2 linked regions of the Nothobranchius furzeri genome follow. The protein of the gene in region 2 interacts with the protein of the main gene of each other region in a pairwise test. Links are inferred from orthologs where the notes say so. Each region holds a gene or a part of one and is shown on either strand. Other genes may lie near its edges.

Region 1 (4,491 bases), on a different chromosome or scaffold from region 2:
AAGTATCGAAAATTGGTACCGTTAAGTACCGGTATCGATTCGTAGGTACCGGGAATTAGTACCGAATCGATTCAAATGTCAAAGGTACCCATCCCTAGAAACAAGAGTATGTCACATTCATTGTCCAGTAGCATGCGGAGATCATTTGAAAGACAACGGTTGAACCTGCCCCACAACTGAGAGCCATAATTAGAGCGTTGCCAGACTAAATAATACAATTAATAATACTACTTATCTTTGGCATTCAGACATCAATTCTGATTGCTTCACAGCCGGACAGGACACCGTAAAAAAATAAATAAAAAGACAACAGCAGCTCCAACAATCACTCGTTCCTCCCAAGGTCTGCAGAACAGCATCTCTGAACCACAACATGATGATGCCTGAAGCAGATCCAGCAGCAGAAAACCACATCAATGTGTCTCTCCTGTCAGCTAAGAAAAGGATACTGAGGCTTCAATTCATCTGGTGTCACCAACATGAAAGCATGGGTCCATTCTGTCTTGCATCAATGCTTTAAGCTGCTGCTGGTGGCATTCTTGTCCCACTTTGGACCCCTTAGTACCAGCTGAGCCTAGTTTAAGTACCACAACCTTGTTGCTGACCATACATGTCTATCACTTTATGACCACATGGACCCATTTTTTGATACTACTTCAAGCACGATCATGCACCATGTCACAAAGCTCAGAGCATCTCTAACTGGTTTCTAGAACATGACGATGAGTTCACTGGACAAAAACGGCCTCCACGGTCACCAGATCTCAGTCCAGAACTTATGGAATGTGGTGGAGTAGGAGGTTTTCCTTATGAACAGAGCTGTGTGATGTTATGTTAATATGGACCAGAACTTCTAAGGAAAGTTTCCAACATCTTGTTGGATCAATGACATGAAGAGAGAAGGTAGTTCTGATCTAACCCTGCAGATACAAGGTGTACCGAATAAAGTTGGCAGTGTGAGGCACGTATTTAAGCATCTTCCTCTGTGTTTTTAACACTGAAGTTTAATAGACTTTTGATTTAATGATTACTGCACTACCTCTCTGCTTAAAGTGTAAAGCTGCGTTTTTACCAGGCCCCCACAATGTGGCTTTAAATTTGAGGCCAACCCGGAAGTAAGAGAAATTGCAGTTCCACCCTCATCCGCTGGGGGCTGGTGTCAGAAACGAGCAAATCCTCATTGACTCCCATGTTAAAAATGCCAATTTCACAGCAGAAATAAACATGTTTACAGCCTGGTACCAAAACATGTTTTTTGTTTAAATGATCTAGTTTATACTCATGACAACTCTGAGGGGGGTGAATTTTTTTTCTCACTCTTCTGTTTAAGTGTATTAAAAGCCTAAAATTCTGTATAATTAATGAGCATCCGACACACGTGACCACAGAGCTAGCTCCGTGGAAAGGCCTCAGTAGAGCCTCAGTCTGGCTTGGAAACTGTTCCGGGATTTTGAGTCTCTGTGTTTGTGTATTCTTTTTTGGATATTTTTTGTGCAATTGTTGGACAAAATGACTTGCTGTGGCATTAATTGCACTAATAGAGCGTCCAAGGAGTCTCCACTTCATTTTTTTCGGTAAGTAAAATTATATTTATGTATTTTAGGTCACTGCCAAGCTGAGCTTAGATTTTAACATGTACTGTTTAACCATGAAATTTAAATGTAATAGGGTAAAACCCAGTGCATTTAACACAATGCTGCACTTTAGAAAATGGGTTGAAATATAACATGTTGGTGGAGCTGGGTTCCGACTATCGGCTTGTGGAGCTCTCGGGAGACCGATGTTTTCCACCCAGAATGCCGGCTGTTTCTCCCCGCAGCCTGGTCCATCTCTGTCTGATCGCGGCTCCTGTTAGCTGCGCGGGCTAACGGCTGGTTCTCCCAGCAGCTCGGCGCATCGCTGTCTGATCGCGGCTTCTGTGTGCTGCGGCGGGCTGACGGCTGGTTCTTATGGCAAGCCAGAACCGCCAAAATACGCCACTTCTCCCCGCAGCTCGGCGCATCTGTCTGATCGCAGCTTCTGTTTGCTGCAGCGAGCTGACGGCTGGTTCTCCCAGCAGCTCGACGCATCTGTCTGATCGCGGCTTCTGTGTACTGTGCGGCTGCCGGCTTGTGGAGGTCTCCGAGACCTCTGGGTTCCACCGTATTTTACCCAGCGGTCAGCCCGGCGTACCTCTGACTCAGAAGCTCTGGTGTTGTGCACAGTTAACTCCAGTTGTAGCTAGGTTGCTACCTCCGATAGCTTAGCTCCCACATCCGCATTAGCTTTGGGTTAGCTTCAGGTTAGCTTGTAGATAGCTCGACCGGGTGTTGTCAGTTGATCCCAGCCTTACAGCCCCACCCTCAGCTCCTCCTCTCTTCCCTTTTGTGGAATTGTCTGGGCTTGACGGAACCTGTGACACGGTCAAAATGGCGGTGGTGGCCACCTCCCATTTAGCCTCAAAAACGTGTTATTGGAGTCTATGGAAACCCATTGTCCATATATTAATGTCGATGGTTTTTACACACAAGATGCATTCAGCTACATTAGCTTTAGCATCACAGCCAGTCATTGTACTTATGTTGATGTTTTGCGGTAATAATTACAGCAAACTCTTGGCCTTATTTATAACACTCACTGTTAATAAATAACAAACAGAAACAAGTGAAGATGTTGACGTAAACAAACGTTTTTACCACTTCATCAGCTTCCCCCTGTCTCTCATCGAAGGTCCTCACCAGTCTCTTCCTCTCCTCTGCATTAGGAACAGAACAAGTTCGAGGTTTAAACCAAGAAGGTTTTGTTATTTGACACTTAAACGAGGTTAAATGAGGGAACAACGGGTTTATTTACCTCCGGTACAGCTGAGAGCCTTCTCTGGGATTAGCTTTAGCTCGTCATACAAGGATCTGTAGATTTCGTGTAACTTCTCAAATTCTTCCGACGACATTTTCCGTCAATGTAATCTCGCTGTCTGTCATAAAAAGGCCACCTGTACCTTTTTCTTTAAAGGACGGAACGAACTACACAAGTGGATCAACTGCTTGTGCTTCGATGAGACTCTTCCGCTGCCGCATGACGACTCTCGTGACCAAGTGCCTAAACTTTACAACATTGCTACAAATTTGAAGTATTCACATGCTAAACGTTCGGTGAAATTTATTTCAATACTGAAGATGAATGTGACAATACCATCAATATGCTTAACACTATTTAAATGTCTTACAAGTTATTTTAACGTATTTTATTCAGGCACGAAGGTAGACAGCTTTAAACGGTCTCTGGGAACTGTAGTTTTTCCGCTAATTCTTCTAAAAAAGATTTGAAACATTTGTTAAAAGACAACTGAAACATCATAAAATAAGATAAACTATTACTAGTCACTACAATATTAAATAAAAATGAACGAAGTTTATATTAGTGTGCATTTACTTTGTCTGTTTACATTATTTTCTAGCCAGGCTATTTCCTAAAACAATAATGGGCCTAAATTATAGATACATTATAATAATAATCAATTTTGTACAGAATTATTGTTTTATAAATTATTTACTATTTAGATACAAGGCTACCTATAAAGAATAGCAAGATACCTGGATGATGTCCCGATTGAAACACCTTTGGTTGACGTGGTTCTGACTGCCATATGCGTCGCTCAAAAAACTATCCTCATGAATTGGAAAAATAGAGATACTCTTTGCATTAACCAGTATATAAATCTTTTGTTGGATCATATTACACTTGAGACAGCCTCTTCTTCCACTTCAAATCAATCTATATGGGCTCCTTTGATCGGTTCCATCACATAGAGGTGATTGTGTGTGTGTGTGTGTGTGTGGGGGGGGGGGGGGGGTTGTCATTGATACTGTCCTGCGGGATGATGTGGGTGATGGGGTGGAGGGTCTGCGCTTGCAGTATCCGGACGTTCCTTGGAGGTGGATTCACTGGGGGTGTCTGGGGCTGGGGGGCTGCTGTCCCACTCTGGAGGCGCTTGGGTTGCCTCGAGGGGTGGATTACTGGCGGTTGTGAGTGGAGCCCCTTGGGGGGTCTTGACGGTGGCGATGGGTTGCTGCCTGGTGGCTGCATCACCCCTGAGTGGGTCTGGGTGGGGGCCTGGGGGCTAAGGGTGTGGGGGTAGCTGGCCCCCATGTGGGGATCTGGGCGGGGCCTTGGGGATTGGCTCCTAACTTGTATGCTGCTGGGAAGAAGGCGGGAACACACGGCGGTGCCTGGCCCAGGCTCAGGGGCCTCAGGTGGACCTTGGCTCCTCTGAAATAATAACAATTCTGTCACATCACGGGGGAGGGGGTTGTCCAGGAGGGGGAGGACCCAACCTTACCTGATGTCTTATGTCTTACATATTCTGGAAGTTGTGCAAATGCAGGGATGGGAGTAGATATTCTGCTGGGGTGGGGCTGGGTTGGTGCCCTCGGACTCCGTAGGGCTCTGCGATGCTGCTGCTTTGGGCCCTGGCTAGGTGGGCTGGGGTCTCCATGCCCTGGGTGGCATTTT
Region 2 (4,515 bases):
TAGTTTCACTGCTTCTGTAAAGGTGAACGATCATATTCCATCCTTCTGCCCAGACCCTATCCTGAACACCTGACATGGGCTTGATGCTGTGAAAGTTTGACCCCCCCCCCCCCCCCCCTCCATCACCAGTCAACCAAATGACCCGTTCCTCTCACAAAACCACGTTCCTCAGCCTTTACAGCAACACCACTGCTTTTGCAGTACGGCTGCAGCAGCTTTCATAACCACAGGAGAGGAAAACCACGGCCATCCTGCGTAGAATTGTGAATCCTCCCCTTTGCATGTACTAAACAACAGCACAGTTATTTTTTAGGGTATTTTAGTTCCCTTAGGCTGTGAATACAGTGTAATTTTTTTATTTTAAGTAAAGCTGTGCTTAAATGTTACATGTTTCCCTTTCCCTGACTCCTCACTGTTGTCCGGTTTGCTAAATAATTATTGTTTTGCACATGTATTGCAAAGTGAGGCCTGAAGTCTTTCTGAAGGTGTTGCTGCTGGTGGGTTTAATATGTTTTGACCTGCCCAGACACCCTTACATTTAAGCATCACTCAGCCACAGTCTGTGTTTTCTGGAATGATCCAATGATAACATTTAGTGATACTCGAGACAATAATGAGTTTATTTCAGGAGCAGCGGTAGTGAATCTAATGTATCTCAGCTTCACTGGAAGGGGATTTAACCTCCCTGTTCACGGTCAAAGGTGTCCCATGCGTCAGACTGGAGATGTTCTAATGGGGGTTTCCTGAATCGTAAATAAACCCATGAACAGGTTTGCTGTAATTGTAGTACCTTGCAGAGTCTTTAGCCCTTTTTTGCTCCTACAAGCTAAGTGTACAAGCTTACCCTCATGTTTATTTTTCTGTTCACTTCAAACACTAGTGATGATTACACATTGTGCTCAAAACCTTTTGTTGAACATAGGGGTACTTTTTTGTTTTATTTTATTTTTTTGCAGCATTCCTTGTTAGCAAAGTGGTTTCAAATCAAAAATTATGACCTGGAAGGAATAGAAAAAGCCTATAAAACCTTTCAGGGGATGTTGGCTACCGGCTAAGTTGTCTTTAAGAAAAATAAATAGTGAAACACAAACCCAAAAGTGTGTGTGTGTGTGGGAGAGAGAGTGAGTGAGAGAGACAGTTCTGTTGTGAAATGAAGTATAATTAATCCTCTAGTGCATTTTCCTCCTGACGCCTCCCTTTCTCCTAATTGTTGGGCCTGAATTTAAACTGGAAAACGACGCGACCTGATTGGCCTGAGCAACAGATCGAGCGCATGCGCACAAGCAGAACGAGAAACTGTGCGTTAGGAACTACCGGAAAACTAAAACTTCCACATTTTACAATGGAAGACTTTTTTTTCCAAAAGTAAAATCTTACGGTGGCAAGAGAAGTTGCATCTTAAACTATTCTGGTCCCAAAAACTAATAAAGTACTAGACAGCTTTACCAGAAATGAGGTGAGACGTTTTATTTCCTGTTTAAGCTCGTGTTGCTGGACTTTACTGGATGCACCTGAAGGCAGCACCATCAGGGGAAATGAAAGCTGTTTGGGACAAACGCTACACGGCCGAGCAGAACCGCGGTGAGTCTAAAAACTTCGGGAAGACGGATTTTAAGGTGATTTGCGTCGTGTCACCTCACGAGAAAAAGACTGTGTATCGCAATAGTTGATCAAATTTACGAATGTTGCTTTTAAAGTAGTCTTTAAGCCTCCCCGCCGCGTGAGAGTGCCAGTTTTGGGCTAAAAGAAAGAAAAAAGGAAGCACAAACTATCTGGACACTTTAAACTCATCCCACAGGCCACAGGTAATGGTTTGATCCGAGACACCACTGTTGGCTCTGGGCTCTGGTGTGTGTGTGTGTGTGTGTGTGTGTGTGTGTGTGTGTGTGTGTGTGTGTGTGTGTGTGTGTGTGTGTGTGTGTGTGTGTGTGTGTGTGTGTGTGTGTGTGTGTGTGTGTGTGTGTGTGTAACGAGGAGAGGGGGTGGTCATTGTAATAAGTAATAAGATCCTGATCCAGTGTGAGCAGCACTAACAATAATGAGACATGAGAAACATCACGTAGTGTTTCCTTCAGGTATTTGTTTTATTCTTTGAGCATTAATCAGTCAGATCTTTAGGTAAATTCCAAATAAAGCTTGTTATCTGTTGTGAATTATTATAATTTTTGTCCAACAGGAACCATCCTGCAGAAGTGACAGACTTTGTTCCACCAGAGTCCTCTAGATCCGTCATGGAGACCCTTGAGGAGGACCTGACGTGCTCTGTGTGCTACTCTCTGTTCTGCGACCCGCGGGTCCTGCCGTGTTCTCACACCTTCTGCAAGACCTGCCTGGACAGCCTGCTGCAGGTGTCCACCAACTATTCCACCTGGCGTCCCCTCCGCCTGCCTATAAAGTGTCCCAACTGTTGCAGCGTGGTGGAGCTGCCCCCGATGGGTGTAGATGCTCTGCCCACCAATGTGTCCCTGCGGGCCATCATTGAGAAAGTAGGAGAGGCTGGCCCGTCTGTTCCCGTTTGTCTGAAATCCTTCTGACGGGCTTGTTTCTTTTTACTTTCAGTACCAGACGAACAATGCGCCTCGACCCCCGTCCTGCCAGGAGCACCACAGACAACCTCTGAACATGTACTGCATCCAGGATCGGCAGCTGATCTGTGGTCTGTGTCTGACCGTCGGGCAGCATCAGGGACATCCCATAGATGACCTTCAGGCCGCCTTCATCAAAGAAAAACAGACTCCATCGCTGCTGCTCGCCAGACTTTCGGAGCAGAGATGGGCGCAGGTGGGCGTCGGGGTTTGGGAGCAGGAATTCTGTGCCGTTTTTGTTTTGATTAATACGTCTAACGTCTTGTGGCTGTTGGTTAGGTGTGTGACCTGGCAGAGCAGCTGGAGCAGGACAAAGCCCGCTGTGAGGCTCTAGTGAGGCAGGACAAACAGGAAGTGGATCAGTTTTTTCTTGTGCTGGAGGGAATACTGGCCAGGAAGAAACACGCCTACCTGGAGGCTTTGGATAAAGCTGCTGCAGAGGTGTCGCTTGCATATGACCCCCTGATCCACAGAGTCAAGGAGCTTCAGGTGTGTGGACACTTCCACAATCCCAGTTCTTAGGGCTGCTTTGAAGTTTTGACTCATTTGTCTTCAACCCTCTGGGGTCCGTGGACGCTTATCCGCGTCTTTTGAACAGGTCTGATTTGGGACGCTGTAGCAGCAAGACTCCGCCTCCCTGAGTTTCCGTTTCAATTCAGCTTTAAAAAGGAGATTATAAACTACACCCCAGTTTTTAAATTGTGTTAATAAGCAACGTAAAAGCGGAGTTAAACTAAACTAAAAAATGACCTTTTTTTAGACAATCTGATAACTTGTCAAACAGCAGTTTAGTAATCCGTGAGAGGGAATGTGCTTGTGAACATAAAAAACCCACAAAAACATGAGATCCTTTTGCTGTTGCTGGAAGTCTCACATATTCAACTGATAAAAAGTATCATCATGTAGCTGAGAGAGAGAGGAAGGCCGCACGAGTAACGAGATGTGCGCAAAAAGGAGCCGCTTGGCGGGGAACGGAGTGGCGCGAACGGAGTAACAACAAACAGTTAGACAGATATTGATGGTAAACTTCATATTTTGGAGCGATCCGGACAGATATGTTGTCTCTGCAGTTTAGTAGGCTTTTATTAGGCTTATATAAAGGATGGTGAGAAGGATAAATGTCCACCAGGCAGTTCGGCTGTTTTTTGAACTGGAAGCAGAGGAAGTGGACGGAGACTCGCAGCCGGAGTCTGAAGCAAATAGCGAGGATGTTGATGACGATGTGGCAGATCCATCCTTCCTCATAGAAGAGTTGGGTCATGATGAGGTAGAGGATGAAGGCAGAGATCCAGCTCCTCGGAGATCCAACAAGAGGAGTGGGCGGCGCCGCGCAGCTGTCAGATCTCGATCTCCGCGGCGTGAGACAGAGCCACTCCCCACTCCAAAATGCATGCACATTATTGCCAAATTAATAAAATAAGTATAAATTCAGATAGTCCAGGTTGTTCTGAAAAAAATGATACCCCATAAGGCAAAATTTATTGTTTTTGTTAGAAAATACAAAAGACAAACCAAAATGAGTCAAAAACGGTGATTTACACCCAGGACCCCAGAGGGCTGATATTATTTTTTTTATTTGTTATTTGCCATATTTATTCATATTTTTTATAAATGTACAGTCTAGATTAACATTCTAAATTATAAAAAACATTCGTCATAAATGTTTGTTGGTTTCACAGTAAAATAATCCAATTCGGATTTTATGTTTTTGAGTGATTTAAGGTCTAATATGCAACCCCTTTATGTCCAAATGTAAAAAATAAGTATAAATTCATAAAGTCCAGGCTGTGCTGAAAAAGGCAGTGGTTATGGCTTTTATTTTGGAAATACAAAGAAAACTCTAAATTAGTGAAAAACGGCAAATTACACCCTGGACCCCAGAGGGTTAGTTAGAAGTCAGATGTTGTGATTCAAGTATTTAGTGAGGAAC

The links.
Region 1: the proteins of trim59 (region 2) and vti1b interact in binary tests that used the Homo sapiens proteins (3 or more experiments, as listed by UniProt). The two-hybrid records come from large-scale screens. The link is inferred for Nothobranchius furzeri from reciprocal best matches to the Homo sapiens genes TRIM59 and VTI1B.

The regions. Positions count from the first base shown.
Region 1 is NC_091758.1:18,877,958-18,882,448, forward strand, and holds the start of vti1b (vesicle transport through interaction with t-SNAREs homolog 1B), read right to left. Parts: upstream 3,062-4,491; 5' UTR 2,930-3,061; coding exon 2,833-2,929; intron 2,735-2,832; coding exon 2,676-2,734; intron 1-2,675. UniProt on the Homo sapiens protein: V-SNARE that mediates vesicle transport pathways through interactions with t-SNAREs on the target membrane. These interactions are proposed to mediate aspects of the specificity of vesicle trafficking and to promote fusion of the lipid bilayers.
Region 2 is NC_091753.1:52,625,492-52,630,006, reverse strand, and holds the start of trim59 (tripartite motif-containing protein 59), read left to right. Parts: upstream 1-1,452; 5' UTR 1,453-1,581; intron 1,582-1,640; exon of another isoform or gene 1,641-1,805; intron 1,806-2,176; 5' UTR 2,177-2,231; coding exon 2,232-2,486; intron 2,487-2,559; coding exon 2,560-2,781; intron 2,782-2,864; coding exon 2,865-3,074; intron 3,075-4,515. UniProt on the Homo sapiens protein: E3 ubiquitin ligase involved in different processes such as development and immune response. Serves as a negative regulator for innate immune signaling pathways by suppressing RLR-induced activation of IRF3/7 and NF-kappa-B via interaction with adapter ECSIT.